Linked DNA regions of Rhinolophus ferrumequinum. The protein of the gene in region 1 binds, or shares a complex with, the protein of each later gene. Links are inferred from orthologs where the notes say so. Each region holds a gene or a part of one and is shown in the gene's direction. Other genes may lie near its edges. The genes, in order: DRC1, IQCG, TCTE1 and IQCD.

Region 1 (7,693 bases):
ATCATTGATGTCTTTAGAGCAAAACATTAAATAGGATTTTTTGTTTTGTTTTTTAAGAAAGATCAGCCTTGTTTGCTCCTGGGTGTTCTATAATCCTGTGACTAGTTTCAAAAAGCATAGTTACTAGGCAGTTGGCAGTAGCAACTGTTCATAATGTACTGTTCTTGATTCCCCCAGAAATGGGTACTGGGCAATATATAATAATACCTGGGTCACATTGAAATTAGTTTGTAAGGTAGTTGTTTCATACTCAAAACATTTTCCCATAGAGTGTTAATGTATGGTGTTAATTTTCCAGGCTAATTCCAAGAACCTAATAACCCACACTTAGTACCCCAAAACTATAGTATATGAACGATAAGCTCTTATAAAAACTTTGTTTTTCTAGCATTGCTTTTGAGGAGAATATTTTTTTACATCCTGTTTTTTACATCAGAATTTATTCTTCAGTTCTGGCAATGGGCATTTAAAAAAATCGTAATGGGTTTGAAGAAGGTGAAGGAAGAAATGTCCCAATATGAACCCAGGCTAATTATCCAGCTGTGTGCTCTTAATCCCCTGCCCTCCCAACTTCTTGGTTGCCCTCACAGTTACCTTTCCTTCTATCTGCACATTTCAAATGTGTAGCAAGTACCTGACACACCAGAGGTATGTGCTAGGTCACCACACTTGGGTTTCAATCTAAATTTTAAAGGACCTGGTGCTGCCACCGTGTCTTGTTCCTCTTCTGCTCTCATCCTTTTCCCTCTGATCACAAATTTCCTGAAAGAAAACTTCCTAACTGCTTTCATTTTTCTTCTTGTTTTCATTTTGAGTTTCTCAAGGCCACCCAAACTTTTAATACAACTTTTTTTAAAAAATAAATTTTATTGGGGAAATATGGGGGAACAGTGCGCCTCTCCCAGGCCCATCAGCTCCAAGTCACCGGACCTCAATCTAGCTGTGGAGGGCGCAGCTCAGCTCCAAGTCCAGTCCTCAATCTCCAGGTACAGGGGGCGCAGCCCACCATCCCATGCGGGAATTGAACCAGCAACCTTGTTGTTAAGAGCTTTCACTCCAACCACCTGAGCCATCTGACCATCCCTCTGGAAGCTCAGTGGCAGTTCATTGTCTTCAATCTAGTTGTGGAGGGCGCAGCTCACTGGCCCATGTGGGCATCGAACCGGCAACCCTGCTGCTCAGAGCTTGTGCTCCAACCAACTGAGCCATTCGGCCTCCCCAACAACTGTTTTTTTAACTTATGTTCAACTTTGCAAGCTTTGACTCGGGGCAAGTTACTTATTTTTTTCTAAGCCTCAGTTTCTTCATCTGTAAAATGGGATTAGTATCACCACAGTTACGTGTTATGAATAATGCATGTAGTGTGTTTAGCACTGAGTGGTCTCAGGGAGGTGCTTGATTTCTACTAATACCTAGTTCTCAAGTTTTTTACCTTTGATGTTTTCCCTAAGCCATATGACCTACTCATGACTTCCCTTCCTCCTTTCATACCTTTTGTAGGCAATACATAAAGATGATGATGAGACAGTTCTAAAAATAACTAGAAATGAAGAAAACAAGATTGCCTTCTGAGAATCTATTAGTATAATTCATATCAAATGGGAGATAGGGGTAAACCAAGAAATTATGTAAATGTTTGATGAATCCCCAAATCCCAATTAAGGTGATTCGGTGTGACCTTATGGATGTAGAATTAAGACGTGTGTGACTTAGTATGCCAAAATTTAACCAACATAATTCTTTTTCGGGAAGAAGACTAAGCTGAAGTGAATGACCAGCCTGTAGCATAGCAAAGGAAGCCCATATATCCAGGTTTTGCTTTTGTCACCCAAAACTTCCCCAGGGATGAGGGTGCCATGCCCCAAGGACTTGACCTGTTCAGTCTTTGTGGCAAGTTGTTCCCATCGTGGGCTCCTGAGTCCATTGTATATCATCAAGAAACTTCCCAGTTATAGTTTGATTCCCTTTGTAGGTCAGACACGTAGATGTGCTGGTCACCAGTCATAAAACACACACATGCCCTGTGTGTCAGTTGTAGTTTTTTTGCTCAGATTAGTGTATTCTCTATATGTTTTTCTTTTTTGAGCTTATTAGTGTAAGTCAGTTCTCAAAAGCAAGTCTGCTTTTGGAATATGGGCTACCAGTTGAGGACCAGACTCCAGGGGCCAGTGAATTCTCCTATGTCCCTCCCCCAAAAACCTCTCATCTGTGAGCCCTACTCTTGCTCACTACAGTCTCTTCAGGATCTCCTGTTACCACTCTTTAAAAAAAAAAAAAAATTAAATGAAAAAATAAACTTTATTTTTTGTTACATGAAAAATGATTTGTGTTCTTTGTAAATTTTTTTAGAGAATTAAAAATCATCCATAGACCTAACCCCCAGAGATATCAACTACTTTGTGTTTTTCCCTCATTTTTCTTGTGTACATACTACATATATTTTAAATAAAATTGGGATCATCCTCTACATATTGTGCTGCCTAATCTCTTCCTCTGTAATATATTTTGGATGTCTTTCTAGGTTAGATTTATAGTGGCTACATTGTTTCTCATCCCATGAATGCTTAATTAGTTCCCCTATTGATGGATTTTGGGTTACATCCATAATATTACAGATAACTGCAGTGAGCATACAAATAAATTGTACGTTTCATTAGAAAAATATTTGTTGAGCACTCATGTACATACCAGCTATTGTGCTAGGTGCTGTATGTAACAGTGCTGAATAAAATTGACGTAATTTTAACCCAATGGAGCTGTAGCCTAGACCCATTATCCCCAGGATAATTCTTTTAAGTAGAATTGCTTAGTCCATGCATATACTTAGTGAGAGGTATTGGCAAACTGTCCTAAAAGGTACCTACCAGCAGTGAATGAGTGTCTTTAAAGAGATTTATTACGTAATCAGGGCTGTCTGACCACAAGGAAGATCTCCCAGTTGGTTGGAAGATGGCTGGAGAGAGCCAGGAAAGGAGCCTGGCTCAGGGCTTTTATTGTGGTTAAGGGGTGGGGATGGATGCACACTGTTGGAACCTCCCGCCAGCCAGGGCCAAAGGAGAGAGCACCCAGGCTTTGTTTGTTTGTTTTTTAAAGTCAGCTGCCCAGATGTGGAGCAGAGGGAAAAAAAGCTGTGAAGCTTAAAGGCTGTCAGAAATCAAACAGCAAAAAAGGGAGTCAGATTCCTTATCTGTCTGGAGTGATGGTATCGGGGATACCTTGATGGCCAAGTATCTTATTGATCACTCTCCATCGCTTTTTATGGTACGTGTCCCATGTAACTGCTGATTCCCACTGACTTTCTCATGGCAGCCAACTCCCAGCCGTAGTCGTGCACACACACTTGGATTTGTTTCTCTTCTCAAGGTGGTGCAAACGTGGGCCAGGACCAGTAGGCTTCCTGGTCAGAGCACTACCTCTGATTCCATGGCCCCTAGGGAAGTTTAATACTTGAGGTTACAACTAAAGGGGAGAGAGATTTGACGGATCCCTAAAACCCCAAAGCAAACATACTACTACCCCCACTGCTCACCCCAAGATGTGGGACAAGGATTTGGGCAGCTGTTGGAACTCTTGGCTGTTCCAAGATTTTGGCACTTGCTCCAGAATTTTGGCACTCCTAAATCTATCACTTGTAGACTTGCAAAAAATCCAAAACACCAAAACTCTTTGCCTCTGGGGAGGTCTTACAAAGCGCTTGTCTTCTTTGGCCCCACAATTGCCTGAGTTGAGTAGGCCGAGAGTAGTACCATATGCCAGTTGGAAAAATGGTACTCACGTGGTTGGGACTTATCCAAGGCTGCAGGGCAGGTCTAGGACTAGGACCCGCATTTTCTCACTACTCCAGAGCCCTTTCCCCAGTTTCCCACAGGTCAATGGAACAAGACCCTGTCAAATATCCAGTTTGTTTTTTTTTAAAGGGCTTTAACTCTCAAGAAGAATACTATTTTTGTTGACAACGAGACAAAAAAACACCCAGGAAATAGGGCTTTTTCAAGGGACAATGCTTCCTTGAGGGTTTAATTGTGCTTCTGTACCCTGTTATTTCTCCCGGCCCCCCACGCCTCTGGGTACTATTTCCCTCTGCTCCCCCTTTCTTCTTTCTGTAAGTATGTGATTGAGGGTAGTGGTGGTAGAATTGTCCTAGGTTTTAGCCCTACTGAAAACGGCTACAGGAGACAACAATCCCTTGCTGGGTAAAAATTTATTGATAGCTGGGGGTTTCACGTTCTAGCGGAGAGAGGTGCTCCATGCACAAAGTAGGACCTCAAAAATGAATGGATGATGAATAGATGGATGCGATATACTTTAGTTCAAACTTTCCAAAGAGGCAGTAGGCTCGGAGCAGACCTATTCTGTACCATCCATGAGGAAAGGTCAACACCCATACCCTTAGCACAGCGCTTGGCACAGAGGTGCTCAATAATATCTGATGAACATGATTTTGAGGAATGTTCGTTTGATGAGTGAATGAACGATGAATTCATCATCTGTAAGCAATGAACCACAACTTGGTCCAGCTCTTTAGTCTTCCAGTCTCCGCTAATATGACCGGGCCTTCGTGGTGGCCCAGGACCGTGCACCCCAACTGCAGGAGAGAGCAATAAAGCCCAAAGCTGGGGCACCACGTTCTGAATGCCGGTGGGCGGGGCCTAAAGAACTGCGCGTACACTCACTTCCGCCGCGGGTCAGGTGACTGCTTTTCCCTAGTAACTGCTTGTTGCTAGCAACGCGGCGGCGGTCTGGCGGCGGTCCCCGCGGAGCTGCCTGGGGAGACACCGCTATGAATCCGCCCGGACCCCTGGGGGACCTGGAGGAGACAGAGGAGGAGCATTTATCCGCTTCGATTCTCCGGCCCTCGGTCCATTCTGATAACCCTCAGGAGCGGATCCAGGCCCGGCGTCTCCGCATAGCGGCGCGCCTGGAAGCCCGGAGGCGGTGAGCGGGGTGTGGGCGGGCCGGCCGCGGGACCCGGGAGCCCCGGAACCCCGGAGGTAGTGCGGGGCTGAGGGGAGCCGTTGACCGGCGCTGGAGCCCCTGAGGTGAGGGGCCGGAGTGCCCCAAGTGTGAGCGGGCCTTGTTTCTTAATGAGAGAGAAAACAGGTGCAAGCAAAGTAGGAGACACTAAAACATTTAACACTAGTAAAGTCAAAGGCGGAAATAATAATCCCTTCAGCACTTTTGTTGACTGCCTGCTGCACCAGGCACTGTGGCGAATACACTGAAATGCAGGCCATGCATGGCCTGTCCTCGGAGATGTCTCTCCTTCCTCCCAACCTGCCTTCCTCCACAAGTATTTACCCAGTGGACCTCAGCTATTATTTCTGGTTTCAGTGGCTTATCTGGTTGTGTGACACAAAGCCTCGCTCGTGAAGAGTCTGAGATGGAGAACCTTACCCCTCTCAGGCCAGGGCGTCCCGCGCCATCCATTCAGTCACAGTGGACTGGCTGTCCTCAGGGGTACCAGGAGGCACCTGTGTGACCCCCTGAATTCCTGAACGCCCTCGCTATGTAACAGCACTTACACCTTGTCCGGCTGGTCAGGGTCGGCTGCCCTACCGAGACGGTGGCTTCTCATCTGTGGCCATTGGACACACGGGGCCCAAAGTGGCCTGGCTGTGTTCCAACCAAACTTTACTTATGGACACTGACGTGTGAATTTCACGTAATGTTTATATGTCACAAAATGTTCTTTGTATTTTGATCTTTTTTCCTCTAAATTAATAAAATTCGTGTTTAGAGCTGTTGTAGGTTTACAGCAAAATCGAGTGGAAAGCGCAGAGGTTTCCCATATACCTCCTATCCCCCCCCCCCACACACAAATGCATAACCTTCCCCACCATCAACATCCCCACCAGAGTGGTACATTTGTTACAATTGATGAACCTCAGTGACACATCATTGTCACCCAAAGTCCATGTTGTTTCACTCTTGGTATTCTATGGATTTTGACAACTATATACTGACATGTATCCACTGTTAAGTATTGTACAGAATGGTTTTGCTGCCCTAAAAATCCTCTGTGCTCTGCCTGTTCATCCTGATCATATTTTTTTAACCATTTAAAAATGTAAAAATCATTCTTTGCTTGTGAGCCATACAACAACAGGTGGGTCAGATTTGTCACACAGGCTATAGTTTGCTAATCCTGATATGGTTTATCAGTGTGATGTTCTGTGAGATATCCAGATGGTCCGGATCTATTCAGACTATACTTTGACAGAGATCAGGAGAATGAACACGGCCCCGTGAGTGTGAGTAAATACTATTATCAACTTTTTAAATCTTTTCCAGTCTGATAGGAGGGTAATGATGCCTTATAGGGTTTTCACTTTCATTTTTCTGGTTATAGGTGAAGTTGAACATATTTTCAAATGTCTATTTGCCATTCGTATTTCTTCTGTAAATTGCCTGTTCACACTCTTTGCCACCTTTTCTATTTGGTATTTTGTCTTTTTTTGTATTGATTTGAAGGAGCCCTTTCTATTTTATAGAGAGCAAAATTTCATCAAATATCTTTTACTGGTTTCTCCCTTGACTTTCAAGAATAAAATCGAAAAATTTTAGGAAGTAAAATCATTCAATCTTTTTTCTCTCTCAAACTTTGGTCTTATTCTGAGATGGGCTCTCTCCTGTATTTACTTCTAGTGTTTTATGATTGTGTTTTTTTATATTTACATTGTTAACCATATGAAGTATATTTTTGTATGTGGTATGAAGTAGTACGGAAACTTTGAATATAGATTTTAAGTACTGAAAATAACTTCAGTTTCTCTACTGTTTTCCATCACAGGGAAGCGCTTGGAGACTATTTAGATGGAAAGAAAGAGAGTGAGGAAGATCAAAGCAAGAGCTATAAACAGAAAGAAGAAAGCAGACTGGTATGAACTGGGTAGCAAATGAGTCCTCTCAGGCCTGTGAGACTAGAGAGCTGGGTGTGATGCCATGGTTTTCGTATTTAGACTAGAAGAAACTCAGTAGAGATCAAGTCTCAATAGAGATTCTATTTCTGTCTCTTGGCAGAACTGAGTTTGAACGTTCCCCATTTGGGGAGCTCTCTAGGACTGAGCTTTCATAGTATAATTTCTTATGTGATGCTGTGTCTTCTTTGCTCCCACACTTTTAATGGTATTTATTCACAGGATAAAGTCCAAATGATTTAGCTTGACATTCAAGGCCTTTTGTAGTCTGTCTACATTTGAACTCTCCAATCTTTTCTCCCATTATCACCGAATTTGGGCCTCCACTTTGGCTAGGCCCATCCAGTTACTCACCTCCAGTGGGGCGTGCTTCTTCCTGCTTTGTTCCTTTGACCATCTGGAATACCAAGCTCCTCTCCTCCCCTTTTCCTCCCTTCTCTCCTTTACTCTTTCTTCTCTCCTGACATCAGGTTACCTTCCCACACTTTAAGACCATCTAAGTTCCAACCCTTCCATGAGTTCCTCCGCAGCCCAGGCTGAACTTTAATTCACACATTGAGCCCTTTTTGTCTATGGAATTCATTTCATCTTGGATAATTTTCTGCCTTGTATGACTTTTCCAATGTGTGTGCACACGATGTCCCCAATGAAATTATAAGCTCTGTGAGAGCGAGAGCCTGTTTGTGTGCCTGTGGAGTAGTGCATAACTTAACAAACACGAAAAAGAAAATCGATTGTCTCCCATGGCAATGACAGGGCTCCTGGGATATTTAATA
Region 2 (6,899 bases), on another chromosome or scaffold:
TACAAATTTACCAATGTTACTAAATACCACAATATGGATCAATCCCATTATTCATCTCTGAAATGCATCCAATGATGACTTATATCCCGGTGGGGAGGGAACCAAGTTTTTATAGCCTTCAGTTTCTAGGTGAACACGCTTTGATTAAGAACCAATATGGGAGCATTGAAAGTCCATTTAATTTTGCTACTTCTAATGACAGTGTAAAAAACTTCCTGATGAGACAACTCAACTGCTTAGCAGGGTTCAAAAGTACCCTGGGACCCCAACACTGTGGCCAAATCTATTAAAAATGGAGCCTAACTAAAGAAAACAGGAGCTATTTTAGGAAAATCATGAGATCTGGATTCAAAGACTTGGGCCCAAATCCTGGGACCCAAAAACATGAGCATCAGTTTTCTTCTACAAAATAAGGCCAATAACACCTACTCTAACGAGACTGTCATGATGAAAACATGGGAAAAATACTAAGAATTATGCCAGGAAGGGGCAGCCAGATAGCTCAGTTGGTTAGAGCCCGAGCTCCAAGCAACAGGGTTGCAGGTTCGATTCCCACATGGGCCAGTGAGCTGCGCGCTCCACAACTAGATTGAAGACAAGCTGCCACTGATCTCCCGGGCAGCTGGATGGCAGTTGGTTAGAGCGCATGCTCTCAACAAGAAGGCTGCCGGTTTGACTTCCAGTTTGACTTCCGCGTGGGATGATGGGCTGTGCCCCCCTCCCCCACAACTAGATTGAAAACGTCAAACGGACTTGGAGCTGATGGGTCCTGGGAAAAAAACACTGTTCCACAATAAAGTCCTATTCCCCTTCCCCAATAAAATCTTTAAAAAAGGGAGGGGGGCTCTAGAAGAGGGTAAACAGGGTCTAATACATGGTGATGGAAACAGAACTGACTCTAGGTGGTGAACATACAATGTGAGATATAGATAATGTATTACAGAATTGTACACCTGAAATCTATGTACCTTTACTAACTACTGTCACCCCAATAAACTTTATAATTTAAAAAAAAAATTATGCCAGGAAAAATTGAATTTTTATTTTCTAGCAATTACTTCAGTGTCCAATAAATATCTTTGCCAGAAAAATGTTCATTTAAATGCTTTTCCCCTCACCGCAGCTTTAGCAAAATCTGAAATCTAGGCACAATCCACTTGCATATTTTGCCTTCATTTTCCTTCTAATGCCAAGATCTGATGTTCTACATTTTACACAGTAGCCACGAATTTTGTAGCATAATCTATTAATGACATTTTATAATCACAATAGTTCTTAGAAGTCAAAGCCCAAGCCTTGAGCTTAGTTTGACTCAACGGAGTGTCATATTGCTAATAATTGGACTTACTACACGGATTCTGTGTCCTATGGCTTTAGCAGGAAGGTTGCTTCGGAATTTGGCACGAACCATACCACTGTTTCCATGAGCACGAGTTACCTTTCCCCAGATTACTCTGGTTTTGTTCGGTTTGCCACCAGGAGTAACTGTGTTACTGATTTTAAAAGGGAATAAAAGAGGAATGAGAACTCAGGCAACCACTACAGTGTGGTACAAATTCAAAATGACATCTAGACAGTGGCTCTTGAGCCTAGTTAACCACTTAGTGACATGAGAAACTTGAAAATAAGCCTGGGCCATCATTCATTCAACAAATACTTGAGTATCAACTATATGCCACGTTTATAAATGTAATTTTTAAAAACTTTGTAAAATAGAGCCATTTACAAAACAAAACTTTCAGAGGATAACTATGTAAATATAGCCTTCAGTTATATGTTAAGTAAAATGTATAGATTGTCAGATGGTAATAACTGCAATATATAATAATAATAATAAAAAACAATGGGAGATAAGAAGTTTGAGAATATTTGTGTTTGCAAATTTTAAATAGCAAAGAAAGGCCTCACTGAGAAGGTAACACTGAGCAAAGACTGGAAGATAAGGGAACAGCCTGTGTTTAAAACCTGTGGTTTGTGTCCCTGGCTTGTGGAAAGGCAGGAAATAGATATCAAGAGTTAAATCCTAGCTGGATTAAGAGTAGAAATTGGGAGCCTTGAATGCATAAGATCTTTAACGACTTTAGCTTTTACTAAATGAGATGAGGATCAGTTGGAATTTGAGCAATGCAGCGATGACCTGACATAATTTTAAAGAGCTCTGGCTGTAGAAGGAAAAGGGGGCAAAGATGAAGGCATGTCCCCAGAGATTTTAATTGGTCTGGAATGGGTTTAAGAACCAAGGATTAAGAACCAATGCTCTAGGAACATCTTTAAGTATACATATAAAACATAATTTCAAGGAATCAACGAAATGAATTAAGGAACATGTAAAGTACTCTGTAAAATTTTTAAATCATACAAGGAGTTGGCTCCTTTCTTGAAACATTTAACAGCTGTACCCAACATCATCCACAAAATAACATCCTTCTGTAACCTCCCATCCCATGAAGTTCCTTAAAATCCCAAAGTAGAAGGCACAACAGTACCAATTACTTTACCAACATCTTTTTATTCCTCTTTGAATAGGAAAATGACACAGATCAAATAAAAATGCAAAAAGTATAATACTATAAACTTACTTCTTTGCCTTGTACACATACGCACATCTCTTGCCTAGATAGAATTCAGTTTCATCTCGAGCATAAACACCTTCAATTTTAAGAAGAGCTGTGTGCTCTCTCTGGTTCCGGAGACCCCGCTTATAGCCAGCAAAAATGGCTTTGGACCACAACCTAAAACACACAAAGTATATATTAACCATAAGCTGTTGTTAATATCTCCTTTAAGTTCAAACGTCCAGTATAATATGACTTGTAACGACCCTCACCCAAAAGTTACCTAATTTCTCCCACTAGTTTTAAACTCGCCTTTAGATTCATGCTGAACAAAAAACTTCGAGTACAAAACAATGAAAAGCAGTACCTTCCAGACATATTTGTCGTTTTAGAAGTCCTGTTCCCAGCAGGCCTTAAAATAAACAAAAAAATCAGTTTAAAATCTCGTAACGCATACTCCCCACCTGGTCCCCTCTCGTCTCTTAAACGTGTTACGTTAAATTCCTTTTTGATCGGCATTTCACGCTGAGTGTGGAAACGTAACTATGCCATAAATACATGAAGCGCAGTCTGGCACGACATCCCAACCCCAAAGAATGCCTAATAGCTAAGTAAACTTGAAAATAAGTGTCAAGACTCTACACTAAAATAACCCAAAGAAACTCCAAAGGAAGTTCTAAGAAAATTCATGCCATGATCAGAAGGAAGATCAAGGAGTCAGAGAAACATGCAGAAAACAACTCTTTAGCAATAAATGGGAAAGAAAACCGAAGAAACTGTAAGCAAGCAAAAGCCAAGACTGGAATGGGAGCAACTGGAAAAAATCCATCCTAAAAGAGCCACTGCCTCAAAAAGGTAAATGCAGACGAAGTGCATCTGTTTCACTCCGTTACGGCCCAGAAGAAGCAATTCTGATTACGGGAGCACCCGCTCTCCGGACGTCAGGGGACCAGCACCATCAGTCCCATATCTCCTCCATCCTGTCCTCCCTATTGCTGGAATCCATAGAAATCAGTGGCTGGCAGTGCCTCCGAGCCGCAACAGTGGCTCAGAGACATATGTGGTTGAACGCACTCCAGTTATTTACCCCCAAATTTCAGCAGCACGAAAACCACTCACCTCCCCAGGCGCCAAAATGGCGGAAAAAGGAAGGCGAAGCCCCGCCGCGTAGCCTTGTGGGAAAAATACTTTCACCTCGCCTCCAGTTTAGGCATCTTCCGCGACCGCCAAAAAAAAAGCCTCAGAAATCGTCTTCTGACTGAAACAAGCCACATTTAACAACACTCTTAAAATTCTTCCCTTAAGTCCTTCCATTTTTGCAAGCTGCAACATGTATTATTTTTTAGAATAGAGGAAGGCAAAGTAGTAGCCAACTAAAAGAGAAGCAAAAAGTCCCTCAAAGCTGACCGTTGCCATAGAAACATCTTAGCGTGGTTCCTGCGAGCTCCGGTTGTAGGTGGAAAAAGTGAAGCCGGACGGGAGGACATAGCGCCGCTTGAGGTACCTCAGATTTGATTCGCCAATGTAGGGGTAGCTTTCCCTCTTACTAGACAGGAGTAGGCCAACGGAGACTCTCGGATCCTATCCTGGAAGAGAAAGGCCGGGAGCACAAAGGCAGGAGGAGCCCTTCTCTTTACCTTACTCCTTCCCTCCTTCTGCTCCTTTATCTCTTTCCAGAAATGAGTTACATTCTTACCTCCATCCTTTGATTTGACCCCGAGGGTAAGGAGGACTGCCCTGAAAAGACCTTACTCCCTTTTAGGGGAATAAGGTAAACTGTCAGGCTAACGGTCTGGGCGCCCAGCACCATGCCCACACGTTCACGTCTTCAGTAATTACTTGAATACTAGCATAAGATAAGTTAATGGACGTCAGAGATTTATATTTCCTAATTATTGCACATTTATTTGGGTTACCCTATGGATTCATTCATTTATTCAACAGTTTATTGAGTGACTCCTACATACCAAGTTTTGTTCTTGATTCGGAGGACACTGAACAAAACAACAGAACTTGACCCTCGTAGAACTTACATCCTGGTAGGGGGGAGAAAGACAATAAGCAAGTAAAATGTATGGCACATTAGAAGGTGATGTGAGAAACATATTCTTTATGGAGAAAAATTAAGCTCGGAGGACTGTAAAGGATGGGATGGGAAGCCATTTGAGATTTCTGTATAGAGGAGCTGCTCAATCTGACTTCCATTTTAACAGGGTCACTGTGTTGAGACTGAAGGGAAATAAGGGCACCATCTGGGAGATCGATTCGGAAGCTATTGTGATGATCCTAATGAGAGATTATGGCATGTAGACAGAAGTGATGAGTACTGGAATTCTGAATATATTTTGAATGTAACACTGACAGGATTTGCTGATAGATGAGGAATGAGAGAGAGAAAAGGATGACTTCAAAGTTTCATAAAATAGGTGTATATAAATCATTTAAAATTAGATCGTCTTATAAATACATCAAGATAGAATTTATGTACCTTTATAGCCCACTCTCCCTATCCAATTTTCTGTGTCCCAGAAATATACCAGAAATCCCAATATTAGAGAATGTACTCACAATCTCACTGTTAAATGTACTGTTATAGAAATCCAAAGATAAGTACTCCTGAGAGGAATAACACATTGAATTTTATTCCTTTGTTCATTCATTCATCCATTCTACACATACTTACTGAGAATAGTGCCTGAAACTTAGGATACAATAGCGAGCATTGTCATGGTTCCTGATTTCATGGAACTTAACAGTCTAGTGGGGGAAATTGACATAAACATTACAAATTATGCAGGAAAATACAAGTGCAATGAATGCTTGAACAGAGAGATCCTGATCCAGCCTAATGAGTCAGGGATAGTGTCACTTGGCAGAAGTATCATTTAAGACATTTTCCAAACTGGAGGTTATGGTACATTAGATCATGGTTATAAAACTTTCTAAGCAAAACATGATAGAATTGAAAATATCAGAACGTATCACATGTTATAAATTGTTTTATGAAACTTGTTATTTGCATGTATATTTACATATATACATATATATGTATATATATACGTGTGTGTGTGTATATACACACACACACACTACATATAAAAATGTATACATGTCATTGTAGGTCATTGTATCAGTGTTGCCCTGGAAGGAAACAGTTGGCAGAGTTGAGGAGAATTTAATAAGGAGTCTGCTTACAAAAGTATAGGCACAAGTGAAACTATAAGGGATGATGCCGTTTCCAGGCACATGGGAAAGAAGTTACCTGAACTCCCAAGAGAGAGCAATATGGAGAGGATTGCCTGACAGAACCCATGCATGGCCTTTGACAGAGAAACATTGCCAACCAGTGGTGATCTGGCAGGGGTATCACCACCTAACCTCACAATCCTACACTTTGGATCTCTTTTGGAATCTCCCATTGATGCACTCCATATGGATCAGTCTCTCACGGCACAGAAAATGGTGGAGATTGGATCTAGAAGGGCACATAGCAGATACCTAGCAAAATGCCACTGATTTAAGCTGCTACCTGATGGATCAGTGGGACTTTACAAGGTAAAGAAGGGAGAGGAACAGTTCCAGTTAAAGGAATAGCATATGCAAAAACCCTGAGTTGAAAGGGAGCATGATTCAGTTTTGACCAAGAACTGCAAGGCAATTAAAAGCTTTATTTGGGGGTCTTTTTTAGGAATTGCAATCCAGGAGACACAGATTTTGTTGGAAACCCCAACTGTGTTCTGAGGGGGAAAGAAAGAGACAGAGTTTGTAAAAACAGAAAAAGGGGGGTACCCAGAGGGATTACACAAATTGTTTTGAAAGAGCTGTGATTGGTAATGGCAAGATGAAGGAAGAAGCAGGAATGATTCCTGGGTTTCTAGTGTTGAAGAATGAGAAGCTAGAACAGCACAAAAGCACTGGATACTACATAAGCATAGCCCTGTCTTACCTATGTGAAGTATATTGACCTATGCCCCAAGCCGAAAAAATGTTAAAATAACACAACAAAAGAACAAAACCTTAACACCATGCTACTTCCTAAGGCTGTCCTGGCACCAGAAAATTTGGCTAGTTTGGAGTATGTTTTTCTCAGTTTATTACATAAAGATTGTTTTATATGTTTGAATTTTTGCATGTGAGATTTTTGTTGTGTGAGGCATATTTGTACCACTCCTCTCAGGATCACTTTATTGTGAACAAAATCACACTGGAAACTCACCATTCACTATTCATTCAGTATAGAGCAAAATTCTCCATGGAGAATTTAAAACTCTTTTAAGCAGAAAGGACTTTGGTTTACCAAGAAGGGGTAACATCTTGATAACTGTATTAAACTGATTTTCCAGA
Region 3 (7,477 bases), on another chromosome or scaffold:
TGGCCCCAAGCAACAGTGGTGTGAGAGCCCCGAAAGTAAGCTGAGCAGCCCTGACCATCCTGTTCCCTCCCTACAGGCCCGAGAGGTGGGCCAGAGCCTGGCCCAGGAGGTGGAAGCAGCTGCAGAGCGGCTGAGTCGGGGCAGCCGGGACGTGGTGGAGGCTCGGCGGCTGTCCAAGGACATGGGACGACTCACTGATGTGAGGGCCACCCCAACATGGAGCTGCGCCCCCACCCCACCCCCATCTCCTGGCTCTGTGCCCCTCCCCGTGCCTCCTTGGATGCTTCCAGTCTCTCCCCAGCATTCCTGTGGGGCCCCAGCTGGCCAGCTACTTGTCATTTGTCTGCAGGGCAGGATGGTGGGGATGGTCTCTTCCCTGACCCTGCTGGTCCCTGCAGAGGCTGTGGTTTGGGGGGAGGGCAAAGGTGATGGACTGCTTCTGGCCACAGGCTGTGGACACCGCTGTGATGCCCCAGTGGCAGCGGCGGGAGCTGCAGGCCACACTGAAGGTGCTGCAGCGGCGTGCCAACACTGCCATCCGGAAGCTGGAAATGGGGCAGGTAGGAGGGGGCAGATAGCAGGCACACCCAACGTGGGTCAGAGACACTAGTGCACACACCGAGAAGCCTCAAGGCAAGGCCCTCTCCTGCCAGCTGGATGCCGTCACCTGGCGTCCCTACTTCTCTCTGCCAAATTGTCTCCCCAACTCCCAAGTCTGCCTCAGGCTCTTCCTCCAGGAAGCTGGTTGACGTGGTGACTCCCTTCGGCCCTAATTACTCCTTGACTTTCATCCTCCTTCCTCCTGCCCCCTCTCATCCATCAGTGCTCCAGCCTTAGTCCTTTCACCTTCAGCAACCTATTTGTAGGGTCCTGGAGCTAAGATGAAAGGACACAGGTGAGGGAGGAGAGGAGGGACATAAGTGGGACCCAAAAGAAGGAGGTCATTCTAGGCAGAACTCCTGGCCCCTCTGCTCAAAGTTGAAGACCTTTGCCAGGGGGAAGGAGGGGATTTCTGGACTGGGCCTCAGGTCAGAAGTGGGGGCCAGTTGCCCTCTAGCCTGACCCACCCACTCTCCTTCCTGCCCCACAGGCTGCACAGAAAACCCAGGAGCTGCTGCAGCGGCACTCAGAGGAGCCCCTGATTGTGGACACAGTTTCCACTGAGTCGCTCTCAGTGAGTTATTGGAGTTGGGGGGTGTCCCCAGGGTCTGGGAAGGGGAGTCCTGACAGGGAGGTAGCTGGGAACCTGGGGCCTATGGGGTCACCACCTGCCCTCCCTTACTCAGGTGCTGGTGAAGGTGGTCCGGCAGCTGTGTGAGCAGGCGCCCAGCACGTCCGTGCTACTACTCAGCCCCCAGCCCATGGGACATGTGCTATGTGCCTGTCAGGTGGCCCAGGTGAGGGACGTGGGAGAGCCGCCCCCACTCCTGCCCATCTCCTGGTCCAGCCCCCTAATTCCACGCCTTTTATTCCTCCCAGACAAGGGAGCCAAGGCTGGGTAGAGGTGATCTATGAGGACACCCCAGAACGGGGATAGGGCCATCTTCTTGTCCCCAACCACCGGAGAGGGAACCCTGAGATTCCCTAATTACTACCCCCCCCCTCCAGGCTGCACATCCCTGCAAACAAGTAGCAGACATTCACCAGCCTCCGCACACACCCCAGCGCACCCCTCGCCTGTCTCCACCCAGGGGCGTCACCGTGTGCCCGGCAAGGGAGGGGTTGCTAATCCCCACGATGCCACTCTCGAGGGTACATTGAATGGACAGTCGCACAAAGGGCTGCTCTGCATTGCTGCCCCTTCTGTTTCTGTACAGAGTGCTACGCCGACCCTCACAGCAGAGGCCTGGGCACTGGCCGTGTGCAGCCACATGGGGGGCAAAGCCTGGGGCTCTCAAGTGGTGGCCCAGGGCACCGGAAGCACTGCTGACCTGGAAGCTGCCCTCCGTACGGCCCGAGCCTATGCCCTCAACCAGCTCTGACCCAGGGACTCATACAGACTAAAGAGACAGCAGATAGGCCAGTGCCAGGAGCCCTGGGGAATCAGCAGAAGCTCCCCGAGGCTGAAGTAGAGGACTGGAGGCTGAGACCAAGCACCTGAGCTGAAGAGGGCCACGCTGGGCTGCTCGGACGCAAACGTGGACACAAGGAGATGTGGGCTGGTGAAGGCAGAAGTCGGCCCAGAGACACACCCACACTAGGTGAAAGTGAAAACACGGGCTGTCCTGGCTGTGATTGCTCATTAAAAAGTTTCACAGAGGAAAGGCAGTTCCAGAAGGTTCTTTTGCTTAAAAAAAGAGCAGACTTCCCCCTCCCAGCAACCTGGTATGGGGGCCCCATCACCAGTCTGACCCCTCACACTGGGCTGAAAGGCCACCCAGTACCACATCAGGACCAAGAGCGCTCGGTCAGGCGCTCTATGCCAGCCCGTTCTGGGCACCCACAGGGCCATCCCTGGCCACCAAGATCCAGAACTGTCGTGTAGAAGTCATTACAGCAGGGCAGACCCTCTCTGGTGTCACTTATTTCTTTAACAATGACTTGTCTTAATGAACGCCCTGGTGATTTGTTGATAGAATGAGAAACAGGTACCGGTCAGTTGCTGAGAATGTGGCAAGAACCAAACAGACAAAACTTCCTGCCCTTGTGGAGCTTACATCTAGTGAGGAAACAGGCAATACAGAGAAGAGGGTGTCAGAGGTGATGTCTATGGAGAAAGAGCAGCCTGGGGATCGGGTGGGTGGGGTGGTGGCATTGCCTCACTGAGGCGGCACCTGAGGGGAGGGTGTGAGCCACATGGTTTTCTGAGGGAAGAGCTGTCCAGACAGGGAACAGCCAGTGCAGAGGCCCTTAGGGGGAGAAGACCAGGCACAGTGAGCTGGGAGATGGCAGCTCATGGGCTCAAAGAGCAGGAACCAGGGCGACTTTTTGCACAGCACCTGCCCTACGCCTGAGCTGAAGCTGAAAATCGGCAGCTCAGAGCAGGAGGAAGCTGAAGGATAGAGGGCAGCCCTCCTTCCCTACCAGGACCTATCCAGATGCCGGAGCTCCACCTCTATTCCCAAATCTCTGTTGCTACATAAAGGAAAGGACCTCATGGACTCATCTTGAAGTCAAAGGCTCCTGGCTATTAAGTTCTGGGGCCGTTTACTTAAAATTATTAGAGTAGAGCAGGTCCTCCTGGCTTCATTTCCTGCACCATTTCTCATTCTGATTGAGGCACCTGCGGTATATTGGTAAATCACTGATGACGGCTTGAGAGGGACCCGAATCCCTGGTGCCTGGCCCTGACTGCTTGCTCAGCTCTGTGGAATTTGCAAAGCTTTACCTCAAGATCTTGGTAACTGCAGCTCACCAAGGGCCTGGCGCTTTACAGGGCCCGGCTCTTTACACGTGGACACTATGGTGAGAAGTTATACTCCCATTTACTGATGCGTTAACTGAGCTGCTGAGATGCTACCTTATCCAGGGTAACCAACTACCATGTTTCTCCGAAAATAAGACTGGGTCTTATATTAATTTTTGCTCCAAAAGATGCATTAGGGCTTATGTTCAGGGGATGTCCTCCTGAAAAATCACGCTAGGACTTATTTTTCAGTTAGGTCTTATTTTCCGGGAAACATGGTGGTAGAGCTGACCCTGAGCAGTGCAGGGAGCGGAGTTAGAGGAGCCAACCATCCTTGCAGTTGAAATCCACGAATAACAAATCAGCCCCCTGCATATGTGGATTCCCAGCCACAGATCAAAAATACGTAATCATCATTGGCGGAGCTTAAAGCTAAGTTCTGCCTCTGTGAAACTTGCCACCACTCTGGTTGCCTTTCTCCTCCTGAAGGGCAATTTCTGCTGCTTCTTAGCCAACCCCTTGAAGTTGGTCAGCCATGCCCTCAGGGGCACCAACCATGTCCTGTCACCCAAGGTTGGGGGGTAGGGGGCACCACATCCTGTCATCCAGGGCTGTGTTGGGGGCATCAGGCTTAGGACTGAGTGAAGGAGTGCTGTGGAGGCTGGACCCTTCCTACCTGGGGCCACACATCAGCCTTGTTTACATCTTAGAGAAAGGTGGAAGTTGCTCCTCTGCAGGGATGCTGCAGCCCACAGCTCTCCTGCAGCGCCTCCTGGCAACGGGAGGCCTCGGGAGTTCCAGTAACTTCCAGAAGAGACTGTTGATGCTTCTCCCAGATCTTCCTAACACTCCCATTTCCAACAAAATGTACCAAGAAGGAACGGCACTCCAGGAGTCCTACCCGAGTCCCCCATTCCTCAACTTCCCCCACAAAAGCCCGTTCATAAACGTCCCCCAGAAGCCCAAAGAACGCCTCATGCCACAGAGTTCCCACAGCCCGCACAGCGGCCCGGCACAGCGCATGAGACAAATTTCCTCGCGTCAACCCCTTGCCAAGGCTCGTAGTGACAACGGCCGAAGGACAGCCCTGCGCGCCTGCACCGCACCCGACCTAGACCTGGTGCAAGCACACAAGCGGACACGCGCATGTGCACACTGGCCCTCGAACCCGCCCCCTGGAGACGCCGGGCGTCGCTAACGACCGGTGCTGGCTGCGCGGGGGCCCTTCCGGAAGAAAAGTGCCTGGGTACCCGGAGCGGGTGAGGTGACCTCGGGGAGAGAGAACACTCAACTCTGGTTCTCCACTATCGGGCTGAACTCTCCCTGCCCCCACTCTCGCCCGCGGGGTGCCCTCAGCTCACCCGGCCTGAAGCCCGCAGATGGCCCCAGTCTTGGCTCCCACATTTCGCATGGCGGGGTAGTACCTGCGGAAGGTCCTCCACCCCCACACATTTGAGCCAGACCTGTGCCTCCTCTCCTGCCACAGTCACTGTCTGCAAACTGGCCCAGAGGCTTGGGTTTGCGAGTAAGGGGAGGCGGGAGGGTGGAGAGGGGACCTTAAGAAGGAGGAAGAGAAATGTGGGGCGTCCCGTAGGGTAGGTCGTGGAGGAGAGCAGCCCTAAGCCCGGGGACCCAGTCTTCTCAGGAAGGCTGATCCCCCACCCCCCACCCCAGCTCCTGCGGGCTGCACCCTCCTGCAGGTCCAGAAGCTTCCGCACCTTTTTCCCTCCCACAGTGGGGCTGGTTTCCCTTGGTTACCGAGGAGAAGCTCGGGCCTCATCACCCTAGGCGGGTTGGGGGAGGGACTCGCTGGCCTTTGGAGATGAGCTTCCCCGCTGGGGTGTCTGAGCTGAAGGTAGGGATGAGGGGTGAAGAGAAAAGCCGCCGGTCCTTTTTAAGACAACAGACTTAAGTGGACAGGAGTGGGAGGAGGGCCAGGCCCAGGGCCCTGAGCAGGGTGTTTGTTTCACTCCCCAGTGACCAAGCAGGCTGGGCCTGGACCCCGACAGAGAAACTTTTTTTTCCTTCTTTTATGATTCCACAAATGGGGAATTCCCAAATGGGAACTTGGTAGTGACCTGGCCTGAGGTAGGATCTGACATGATGGGCATGAAAGAGATCAGAGAAATGTAGACAGAAGCCCAAGGCCCTGAGGACAGATGCCCGAGATGAAGGAGAGGCTGGCTGAGAAGGCGTGGGAAGCACCAGAGAAGTGGGTGGAGTGCTGGGGCGCTGGGGGGCGCTGTGCCAGGTAGCCCATGGTTGTGTCCAGGGGCAGAGGTGCTGGTGGGCCTAAAGAAGGCCCGAGGCTTCAGCTTCTCGGTTCAGAAGAGGGAGGTGAGGACAACTGAGGACCAGGGGTGTGATGAGCAAAAAGGGGAGAGGGCTTCCTCCAGCATCTTCAACTTTCCCATTTGGGCAGGTGGGAGGAGCCTCTGCCCAAAGCGGTTACCTGGGAACTTGAGGAGGATGCAAAAGGTCTGAGACCTCCTCTGAGAGGACGGAATGTGTAAGAGATTCAAGCATTGAATCCTAGGTCTGTGAGGAACAGGGAGGGCAGTGTGAGATGTGGGGCAGGAGAGCACAGCTCTGCAGGATTCTCCTGGGTCCCATGGGGCCTCGCGCAGAAGGATACAGGCCGCAATCCAGGTCTGTGGAAGGACCCTGTACCTGGCAGTGATTTAGGGGGTAAGGGAGACTGGATTGTTTAGGTCAGCACCAAACGGGGACCGCCAGGCTCCACACTGGTGATGAGACGAGAGCGCTCATGAGCTGGAGAAATTGAGAGGTCCACGGGGAAAGTGTTGTGAACAACGAGCCTGGGGCATTTAGGCAGCAACCCCAACATCTCACTAGTTCTCATGCTTTTGTGCACAGAAGTAAGAGAGGACTTCGAACAGACATCCGCTGAAACCTCAGCTTATCCACTTACTAGCTATGTGACACTTAGCAAGTTACCGGTACTGAAGCTTTCCTTATTTGTGAGATGGGGATAATAGTGTTAAAACAACAATAATAATCCTCCACAATAAATCTGAAGATTTAATAAACGTAGGAAGGTCAGGCATCTAACGTCTTCATACAAGATCGGACCCGTATCTTGAGTGCTGGCTCTGCGCCCAGCACTATATGAAATGTCTCACACACATTAGCTCCTTAATCCTCTAGATAATCCTATGAAGTAGGTACCATTAAGAAATGGAGGCTTACTGGGGTTAAATCTGATGGGGTCTCTCAGATGCTAGGGAGCAGAATGGAGATTCGACCTCAGGCAGCGTAACTCCCGGGTCCTGAGCCAGCTGCTACACTGCCTCGTGCTGTGCACATGCAACAAAGGGCCTAGAAGTCAATAAATTGCAGCTCTATCTAGGCAAGGATATGGTTCCCAGAACACTTGTCCACGGATACTTGTCCAAGGATATGGTTCCCAGAATACTTGTGTCCACCGGACACAAGCCATCAAAACTAAGGACAATCCTGGCCAAACTGGGAGCATCTTATCACTTTATATTACCTGTGCAGGGCATGTAGAGAGCAGACCTTAAGACCTAATCCTTTGAGGTGTGGCCTGAATCTGACTTCAGGACCCTGGACCCTGGTCCTGAGGACTCAGGGTGGGGACCTGGAGGGGAGGAGGATTGGCCTTCCCCCCGGGATTGTGGTCCTGGGGTAGATTGGCCTCATGCTGGAGACATAGCATGTGAAGCTCAACAGGCCCATGAGACAGGTGCCAGGCGATGAAAGGTCACTGAGCATGCCCCTCTCCCCCATCTCAGAGCATGTCCCCCTTAGATGAGGACACCAGGTGGTGGCAGGAGAGGCACTCACTGCCGTTGGCCCCAACCTTCTCCCTGGAATGTCAGGGAGGATTCCTGCCCCGAAGGACTAGAGTCCTGAACGTGCTTCCAGCCTTCAAATTCTGGGATTCTCTGACTGCCCAGTGCGTTCCCCAGGGAGAGAAGGCTCCAGAGCGGAAGGCGACGGCTCTGCCACTTCTGGGGCTGCCCTCTATGGGCCCTTGGGGGCTGTATGGGTGAGGCCCCTGGATAATGTATGTCTACCCATCCCTGCAGGCTTCCAGGAAGGATTTTGCCACCTACTACCACTCTCAGCTGAAGACTGGTGATGCCC
Region 4 (8,010 bases), on another chromosome or scaffold:
GAGGCCATTTCCAGAATGATCCACACCCTTAGTATGTCAACCACCGTTCCTTACAGTCTATTCCTTTGTTGGCCATGGACAGGCCGCCCCCCTCACTAGGGGGTGTCCTACTCCAAAACTGAGACTGTCACATTCATTTATACCCCTTTCCCCAAAGCACCTTACACAGTAACGTGAGAGGAAAGACCAGATAAGCATTGCTGCTTACTAGTTGTGTAACCTTGGACAAGTTACTTAACCTCTCTGAGGCTGTTTCTGCCTCTGTAAAATACAGATAATGACAATTACTCTAGTTTGAGATTATATGATGAGATAATATATGTAAACCCTAAGAACCCGTGCTCACATTTATGAAGGGCTTACGAAGAAAAATGGAGAAGGAGGAAAAGGAGTGGGAGGAGCAGGAGGAGAGGATAAAAGGGAGGAGGGGAAGGAACTTTGGACTCACAGTCCTGGGTTCAAATCTGTACTCTACCACCGGCTGGCTGTGTGACCTCAGACAAGTTACTTAGCCTCTCTGACTCACTGTCTCCTCCTCTGTAAAGCCCTGATAATTCTGCCTACCTTGCAAAAGGATCTTAGTTAAGATAAAAGATAAGAAAGAGCCTAATACTAAGCTTGGGCATTAAGAAGTGTGCCTGAAACCAGAGTCACTGCTTTCTCAGCCCCGCACAGCTCGTAGGGAAAAGTCTTATTTACATTCTGACCTTCGTGGACCACCCAGTTCTGCCACCCTAGATGGTGTGGTGAACACGTTGAAGCAAGTTTATAGGGAGCCAGACCTCCCGCTGCACTCCCACGCACAGGAACACTTCATCACTTCCAAGGAGAGTCTACTGAGCTCCACAACACAACTCTGTTCTCTCTGGACAAAGGACATGGGAGGGCCAGGCTTATCGTTCCCTGAACCAAAGTGTCTTCACTTGCGACCTGGAGAAGAGCGATGCCCCTCTGTCCTGGCTCAGGGGCGTGGCTGCCAGGAGAAACATCTATCTGCTAAGGAGACCCTCAAGCGTCAGTCCCTAAATGTCATAGGACCCTCTGTAAAAGGCAGGTTATTTTAAGCCTCCCCTGGACCCAAGGCCTGAGCAAATGAAGCAAATGGCTTTGGGACAAGACCCAGAAAGGTTTTTAAGACCTCTCATTCTGCCAGAAACACACTTAAACTTTAAAAAATTTAAAGCTCACGCCCTCTCTTGGGTTCACTTTGTGCGAGGCTATGGTTTAGAGGAAGAGAAAGTAAAAACCTCAAACCCTCAAATCAATAGATCACGACAAATGCCTGTCACCTTCCATCCTGTCCTGGACAAGGTAGGACCCACAGCTAGAGCCCCAGTGTGGAGAAGCAGTCACCCCTGCGTTTCTGCCAACGGTTTCAGATTGGGACAGACGGAGGCTGGTGTTGAAATCTGTTGCTTTTTTTAACAAGGAATGGGGGCAGGGAAGCTAGCCAAGGAGCAGGTGTGCCTAGGTCCCCAGCAAGCATCCATGGGCAAAACCAAGGCGCCTGAAGATGCAAGGGAGGCAAGGCGCTAAGGGGGGTGCGGGCCCCTGGAAGCATTCCTAAGTTGGGGGTATAGGATTAGGACCCCAGAATCTCCCAGTAGTTTCTGTGTCCGATCTTGGAGGCCAAATGCAAGGTCAGGCATTTGGGTACAAGCTTTTACTATTAGACCACCAAGCCCACAACTCACAGCCTGAAGTCGCCCCCCGCCCTCCACCCCCAGCCCAGCCTACCATCTTACTTCTGCTAGGCAGCTCCTCTTGGCCCAGGCCGTTGGAGGGAGCCAGTGGGGCAGCCCCACATTCATCCAAGGTCAGGATGAGGGGAACGTCGTCATCTAAACTCATGGCCACGGCCATATTCTCCTCTCCTGCAGCCCTCAGGATGCGATGTCTAGAGCTGTAAATAGCGTCTGCTTTGAGCTCCCTTTCAAAGCCACTGGCCCAGAAGTGCTTCTCAGAAACTCCTCCATTTGAGGCATCTTCTAGGGTTCGGGGGATAAAAAAAAGAAAGACAGTTATTAAAATACAACATTAAAATGTTCTGGAATTAGACAGAGGCGATGGTTGCTTAATCTTGCAAATAGACTAAAAACCACTGAATTGTACCCTTTAAAATGGCTGGGTTATATGGTGTGAATGATATCTCAAAAAAAAGAAAAGTATTGCAGAATAATAGCATTAAAAAATGAGGAAACTAACCTCTGCAAGAACACGTACTGAAAAGTTAATGGTAATTATGTCTGGAGACTGAGATAATGACTAATATGTTCCACCGCCACCCTTTTCTGTCATTCTTTGTGTATGTGTTTTTTTAAAGACTTTAAAGACTTAAAAATATACAACCATTAAAATAATAGCAGTTAATACTCAGTGAGTGCTTACTACATACCAGGGACTGTTCTAGCAATTTTTAAATAAAGCTGACTGAAACTTCCTAATAGATAGGTAGGATTATCAGCCTCCATTATAGAGGGGGAGACTTCGGGCTCAGAGAGGTTAAGTAACTTCCCCAAGAACCCACAACTAGAAAACCAAACTTTTAAACTTTGCAATCTGACTCCCTGTGCTCCTAGCCAGGACACTACAATTTCTCCAAGTCCCAAACCTGGTATTTAGGCAGCACCTAAATATCAATGACCTGCAAAGAATTAGCATGTCAGGTCGCCTATACGGGCCCAAAGCACCCTTATATAGGCTTTATTCTCCTAGATTTAGGTTTAGGAGGAGGAAAGGGAAGACTAGAGTACTTTTTTAAATGATGTCCAGAGTCACACAGCAAAAGCACTCATCCTGAGCTCCCAATTTAAAACACTCAGAACTAGCCTGTTACAGCTCCTATTTATACACAATCCCATTTCCGCTGGGGAGGACCAACAGAAAAGCAAAGACTCAGCAGATCTGCCGGCAGACCTTTGAACTTGAAAACAACAGCAGGTTGCTTCCTCAAGCTGTGGCCTTCTGGGCTCACTCAACTTTGCCTCCAGACTAACCCACTGAATGACAACCCCCCCATTTACTTCTTTCACGAACCATTAGAATAATGGTTCCTGTGTGACAATATCTTCTTAAAACGAGGCAGCAAAAGTGAGCACTGTTCTACTAACTAAGCCTGTAGCTCTCTTCCCAGCAAACTTCCTGTGAGATTTTTGTTGTTGTTTTCTCCAGATCTGGGGATTTCTTTTGCTTTTAAATCTCAGTAGTGGAGGGACAGAAGAGGAACTCTCAAATGAAACACTACCATTTGGCTGTCTTAAGAATTATAGGTTTTATTTTTTTTTGGTTTAGCTTTTTCACCACAGGTATTTTCAAACATACTCAAAAGTAGAGACTATGTAAATGAACTTCCTTGTACCTACCACCCATCTTTGACAAAGATCAACATTTTGCCATTGTCCTGTACTTACTTTGAAGGCAGGAGAATCTCCTCTCCCTTTCAACTCATCAAGGTTTCGTAATCTTATTATTATCATAGTAGCTAGTGGATTTTAACTGTTTAATAATATATGACTGCTTGCTTGCATGCATTCTTAGTTCTCTGGCTCTCAGCTGGGGTTATTTTGCCTCCCACCCCCCAGGGGACACTAGCACTGCATGGAGACATTTTTGATTGTCACAATTTGGGGCGTGGGAGCGCTAGAAGATAGAGGCCAGGAATGCCACTAGACATCCTATAATAAGCAGGTGAGACCCGCAGCAACAAAGAAATAAATGATTCAAAATGTCAATAGTGCTGCTGTTGAGAAACCCCCACTTCACAGATGAGGAAACTGAGGCATAGAGCAGTTAACTTAACCTGTCTCTTATAAGTAAACAGCAGGGAAGTGGTAGAGCCAGATTTCAACCTAGGCAGTCTGAATTTAGGGATCCCCCTGCCTCGCCGCCGCTTAACCATTATCCTATGCCTCCGCTCAGAACCAGTTCCATAATCTGAATTTATTCAAACCCATCACTTTAGAGGGAAAAGTGAGGCCCGAGGGGGGTAAAGGACCTGCCCAAGGTCACCGAGTGCAGGGCTCCTGAGTCCTAGCTCAGTGCTCCTTCCACGGGCTTTGCGTCCGTTCTATAGAGGACCCAAAAGGGATGGGTGACCACTGGGGACAAGTCCAGGAAAGGGCCAGCAGCCTGTCCACTCGGGCAGCCTGACCGGGAACGAGTCTCTTTCGGGGTCATCCGAGGGCACCAGGGCGACGAGCAGTGGAGGAAGGAGGGTGAATACAAGAGGAGTGCGGGCTCCAGCTCCACGTGCTCCCAGCCCTGGTGTGGGCCCCCGCGTGGGGGTCGCCCCAGGAAGCCGGGGAAAAACAGAGAGGGTGCAAAACCCCGGCTTGGGCTGGAGGAAGAGAATCCAGCCATGACTTCCTCGCTGTCCCTCTGGGCCCGCCCTGACCACCTCCCACACCCAAGTACCCAGCGGCAACCCTTTACTTCGCGCCCTCTGACCCCTGCCCCCTGCCCCCTCCGTCAAGCCGTCCCTCGCACCCCTCGGATTCTTACACGCGCCGCCCCAGCAAACCGGACCGCGCGCCGGGCTCAGCACCGTGCAGCCCAGCCTGCCGGCGTCGCCGCCAAAGCCCCAAGCCGGGAGCTGTTGCAGCCGCCGCCGCCGCCACTTCAGCTGCTGCCACCACGGCAGCTGCGCCAGCTCTCCCATCCACCGCCTACTGTCCCCTGAACCTCCCCGGCCCCGCCTCATTCCCTCTTCGCTGAAACCTATTGGCTCCCTGGGTTGCTATGATGAGCTCTGATTGGCCAAGCCTCACGTCCTTCCCCAGTTCCCGCCCGCTGCCGATGCAAGATTCCCTGCCCGCCTTCCAAAGCAGGGGCGGGACTAAGAAGCTCCGCCCCTTTCCCCCTCCCATTCTCCCATCCTTACTAGTTCTGCCCAACCCAGAGTCTTTCAATTGGTGGAGGGTCAGAGAGACAGTGCCCCTGATTGGTCAGACCTCAGAAGGTGGGACGAACTGAGCCGAACGAGTTATTAAATGGTGAAAAAGAAAAATCAGTCAGACGCCTGGTCCCTCCTTCTGAGTTTGGCGGGTAACCTAGCAACGCAGGTACAGAGGTGGTAACTGTGAATACAGAAAGCTGGAGCACTTGGAGCAGGTGAGTGACCAGGTTGGGAAAGGCTGGGGATGAAGGGGAGATGTGGAATGGGGACCAGCTCACTGTCTTTGGCTCCCTGAGGAATCAATAGCCCCCACTGCGATCCCGTCCCCGCCCCAGGATCCTGCTCTCCAGACCCTGCCTCCCCCTCGACCTCCCCCTCGACCGCCTGCAAGGACCAGTGGACATCTTCGATGTACTCTACGCCTCCGCTTATCATCTTCATGGCCCCGCTTTCTCATCCATAAAACGTGGAGTCAAATGGAGTCACACCAGAGTTAACTAATTTCAAGTCAAATATAGGTGCTGGGGGTGAGAGGATAGTTTGTAAGTCCCCTTCCATTCCACCCAATGGCCATGGATTCCAGGGTGAGTATTCAATGAAAGGCATCTCACTTGAGTGAATGTTTAAATTAGGTCATTTTGATTATGCCAATTTTTGCCTTTTGTGCTAACTTTGAAACTTAACTCCCACCCCAGTCCTTAAAATGATGTCGTTTACAAATGTAAGACACAGGGTTTGCGTGAGGATTAAACGAGGTGAAGCAATGAAGAGCTTGGCATGGAACGGAGGAACATAGTAAGTGCTCAGTACATAGCAGCTTTTCCCCTAGAACACATGCATCCTTGACTCTGCCTGCTTAAAATAGCTCCAACAACAGAGTTATCTCTTTCCATATCTTGAATATTCATTTATTCAACAAGTATTTGCTGAGTAGTACTTACTACGAGATGCTGGGGTGGAGCAATCCGTACAACCAACGTCATTCCTCCCCTCCTGGAACTTGTCTCATGTGAGAGAGAGACATGAATCAAATATAACATACAGGTAAATTAAAAGTACATCTGCAGTGATTCCCTTCCAGAAGGATGGAGTAAGGAGGTCAACAAACCCTCTCCTCGAAAAGCAATGAGGGAAGGTTGTGATGGCTGAATTTTCTAATCGATCAAATCCGGGAGACTTTCTTATTTCCTGGTCCCCCTGTAAAGTGATCAAGAGGAAGTGGGATTCATAACTGGGATAACCCAGACAGGACAGGACAAACGGCCAAGGAGTGAAAATGGTGGGAAAGGCAAGAGTGAGAAGGGCTGAGTTCTGAGGTCACTGTTTATGCCTTGTCTGAATATAAAATGTTGTTAGCGGAAAGCAAGAATCTAGCCCACCATGCCTTTTCCCAGACTTCACCCTCCATCCAGAAAGCCCCAAACAGCCTTTTGACTGACAGGAGCTGTAACAAGGGCTGCAGAGTCTTCGTATCAGTCTCCTGGCTCCAGGCTCCGCGGGTTGCCCAGGACATCCCAGACAGAGCTCTGCCCTGGCTCGGGGTGAGGGTACTCTTGGGAACACACTCCAGGTCTACATGGGCAGATGAAAATGCTGGGGTTTTAACTTGGGGTTCTCATTTGGTTTGCAGTGAAAATTAAATTAAGGGGGGAGTCAATTGCTAGGTTTCCCCATGCGCTTTCCTTTTTCCCCCGGGAGAGAAGAGCTTGGGGGCAATGAGGCTGATGTACCACCTGATTCATGCCTGAACATATTATAATACTTCCCTTTGAAGAGGGCTTTTAACTCTCCAAAGGGATCTAGCAAATCATCCCTCCTCCACCCAGCTCCCTTTGATGTGGCTAGGACAGGTGTTTTATCCCCAAGTGCCACAGAGATAAGGGATTTGCCCACACTTATTCCCTGAGCCTCTGGCAGGGGCGAGTCATGCACCCAGGGCTCCTAACACCACCTTGTGAACCTGTTCTTGATCCTGTAACTGATGGTGGCTTTAGGTGGCACAGATGGCAGCTTGTCCCATAGAGCTGGACCAGACTTAGACAAGCCTTCCATTGAAGCTGGATGGAGCACTGGACTTGGGATGGGGAGTCCAGGAGTTTTCTAGCAGAGCAAGGCCATTGTGGTCTTGACCAGTGGTTCACAACCAGGGGCACCCTCCTACCCCGGAGGGGTATTTGGCAATATCTGGATACATTCTATCTTCAACTGATCAGCTACTCGTAGTAAAAGGATGATGCTATGGCCATCCAGTAGGTGAATAGGAACGCTGCTAAATCCTACAATGCACAGGACAGCCCTCACAACAAAGAATCATTTGACCCAAAATGTCAATAGTGTGGCAGTTGAGAAACCCTGTTCTAGACTGGCATTTTTATGCAAGGCAAATCACACACACACACACACACACACACACACACACACACACACACATATACACCTTTTCCCTGCAGGCCCTACTTGGTGGAATTGAAAGCAAAAGTGATTAAAAACCAAGATCGTTTGAAATACGGAGCATCAGCAAAAAGTATCTCTTTGACCTTAGCTCTCAAATAATAGCAGCGGGTTATATCCTACGACCAATGTAACAGCTTTGACATGCTTTCCAACACAGGTTGGTTTTTTAACCACAAACCAGACAAAGAAATACATTTTCCTTCTCCACGCAGCAGACACGTGTTTAATTACAAATGAATACTTACTACACGCAACGCACTTTAATGTTTTCTATTCGCTTTCATTTATTTTTAACTGGCAAATTGATTTCACTCACTAAGGACCACAACCCTTGGTTTCAACATAACCTGTCAGCCAGGAAAAGCCAGTGTCTTGCATTTTATAAGGTTATAATTTAAATATATTTTTAAGTAAGGGAAGTTTATGTGAGAAAAATTCTAAATCCATTACTACCATTGGATGTAACCAGAAATAAACTCTTCTAAAGCTACACTGTAACCAAAAGAGGAATTAAAAATCATGATGAACTTACTTGTAAGGAGGAAACTGGAAAATGCTGAGGAGTTTGGTGGATCTCTGTTCTCCTCCGTCACTAACAGAAAAACATGAATAATATAGAAACCAGAAAAATTAAAAACAGAAATAGTAAAAAGTGGTTCCAC

Evidence for each region.
Region 2: DRC1 (region 1) and IQCG share a complex: the UniProt entries of both Homo sapiens proteins name them as parts of the nexin-dynein regulatory complex. The link is inferred for Rhinolophus ferrumequinum from reciprocal best matches to the Homo sapiens genes DRC1 and DRC9.
Region 3: DRC1 (region 1) and TCTE1 share a complex: the UniProt entries of both Homo sapiens proteins name them as parts of the nexin-dynein regulatory complex. The link is inferred for Rhinolophus ferrumequinum from reciprocal best matches to the Homo sapiens genes DRC1 and DRC5.
Region 4: DRC1 (region 1) and IQCD share a complex: the UniProt entries of both Homo sapiens proteins name them as parts of the nexin-dynein regulatory complex. The link is inferred for Rhinolophus ferrumequinum from reciprocal best matches to the Homo sapiens genes DRC1 and DRC10.

What each region holds. Positions count from the first base shown.
Region 1 is NC_046296.1:54,081,040-54,088,732, reverse strand, and holds the start of DRC1 (dynein regulatory complex protein 1), read left to right. Parts: upstream 1-4,692; 5' UTR 4,693-4,780; coding exon 4,781-4,935; intron 4,936-6,790; coding exon 6,791-6,878; intron 6,879-7,693. UniProt on the Homo sapiens protein: Component of the nexin-dynein regulatory complex (N-DRC) a key regulator of ciliary/flagellar motility which maintains the alignment and integrity of the distal axoneme and regulates microtubule sliding in motile axonemes.
Region 2 is NC_046285.1:50,083,944-50,090,842, forward strand, and holds the start of IQCG (dynein regulatory complex protein 9), read left to right. Parts: upstream 1-3,894; 5' UTR 3,895-4,055; intron 4,056-6,899. Other genes in the region: RPL35A (60S ribosomal protein L35a), read right to left, coding at 1,349-1,493, 2,580-2,732, 2,923-2,933. UniProt on the Homo sapiens protein: Component of the nexin-dynein regulatory complex (N-DRC), a key regulator of ciliary/flagellar motility which maintains the alignment and integrity of the distal axoneme and regulates microtubule sliding in motile axonemes.
Region 3 is NC_046286.1:13,516,767-13,524,243, reverse strand, and holds the start of TCTE1 (dynein regulatory complex subunit 5), read left to right. Parts: upstream 1-4,470; 5' UTR 4,471-4,605; intron 4,606-5,144; exon of another isoform or gene 5,145-5,201; intron 5,202-7,419; exon of another isoform or gene 7,420-7,477. Other genes in the region: AARS2 (alanine--tRNA ligase, mitochondrial), read left to right, coding at 77-199, 450-560, 1,091-1,174, 1,287-1,397, 1,818-1,982. UniProt on the Homo sapiens protein: Component of the nexin-dynein regulatory complex (N-DRC) a key regulator of ciliary/flagellar motility which maintains the alignment and integrity of the distal axoneme and regulates microtubule sliding in motile axonemes.
Region 4 is NC_046308.1:8,016,883-8,024,892, reverse strand, and holds the start of IQCD (dynein regulatory complex protein 10), read left to right. Parts: upstream 1-4,998; 5' UTR 4,999-5,109; intron 5,110-8,010. Other genes in the region: TPCN1 (two pore channel protein 1), read right to left, coding at 1,746-1,985, 4,501-4,657. UniProt on the Homo sapiens protein: Component of the nexin-dynein regulatory complex (N-DRC), a key regulator of ciliary/flagellar motility which maintains the alignment and integrity of the distal axoneme and regulates microtubule sliding in motile axonemes.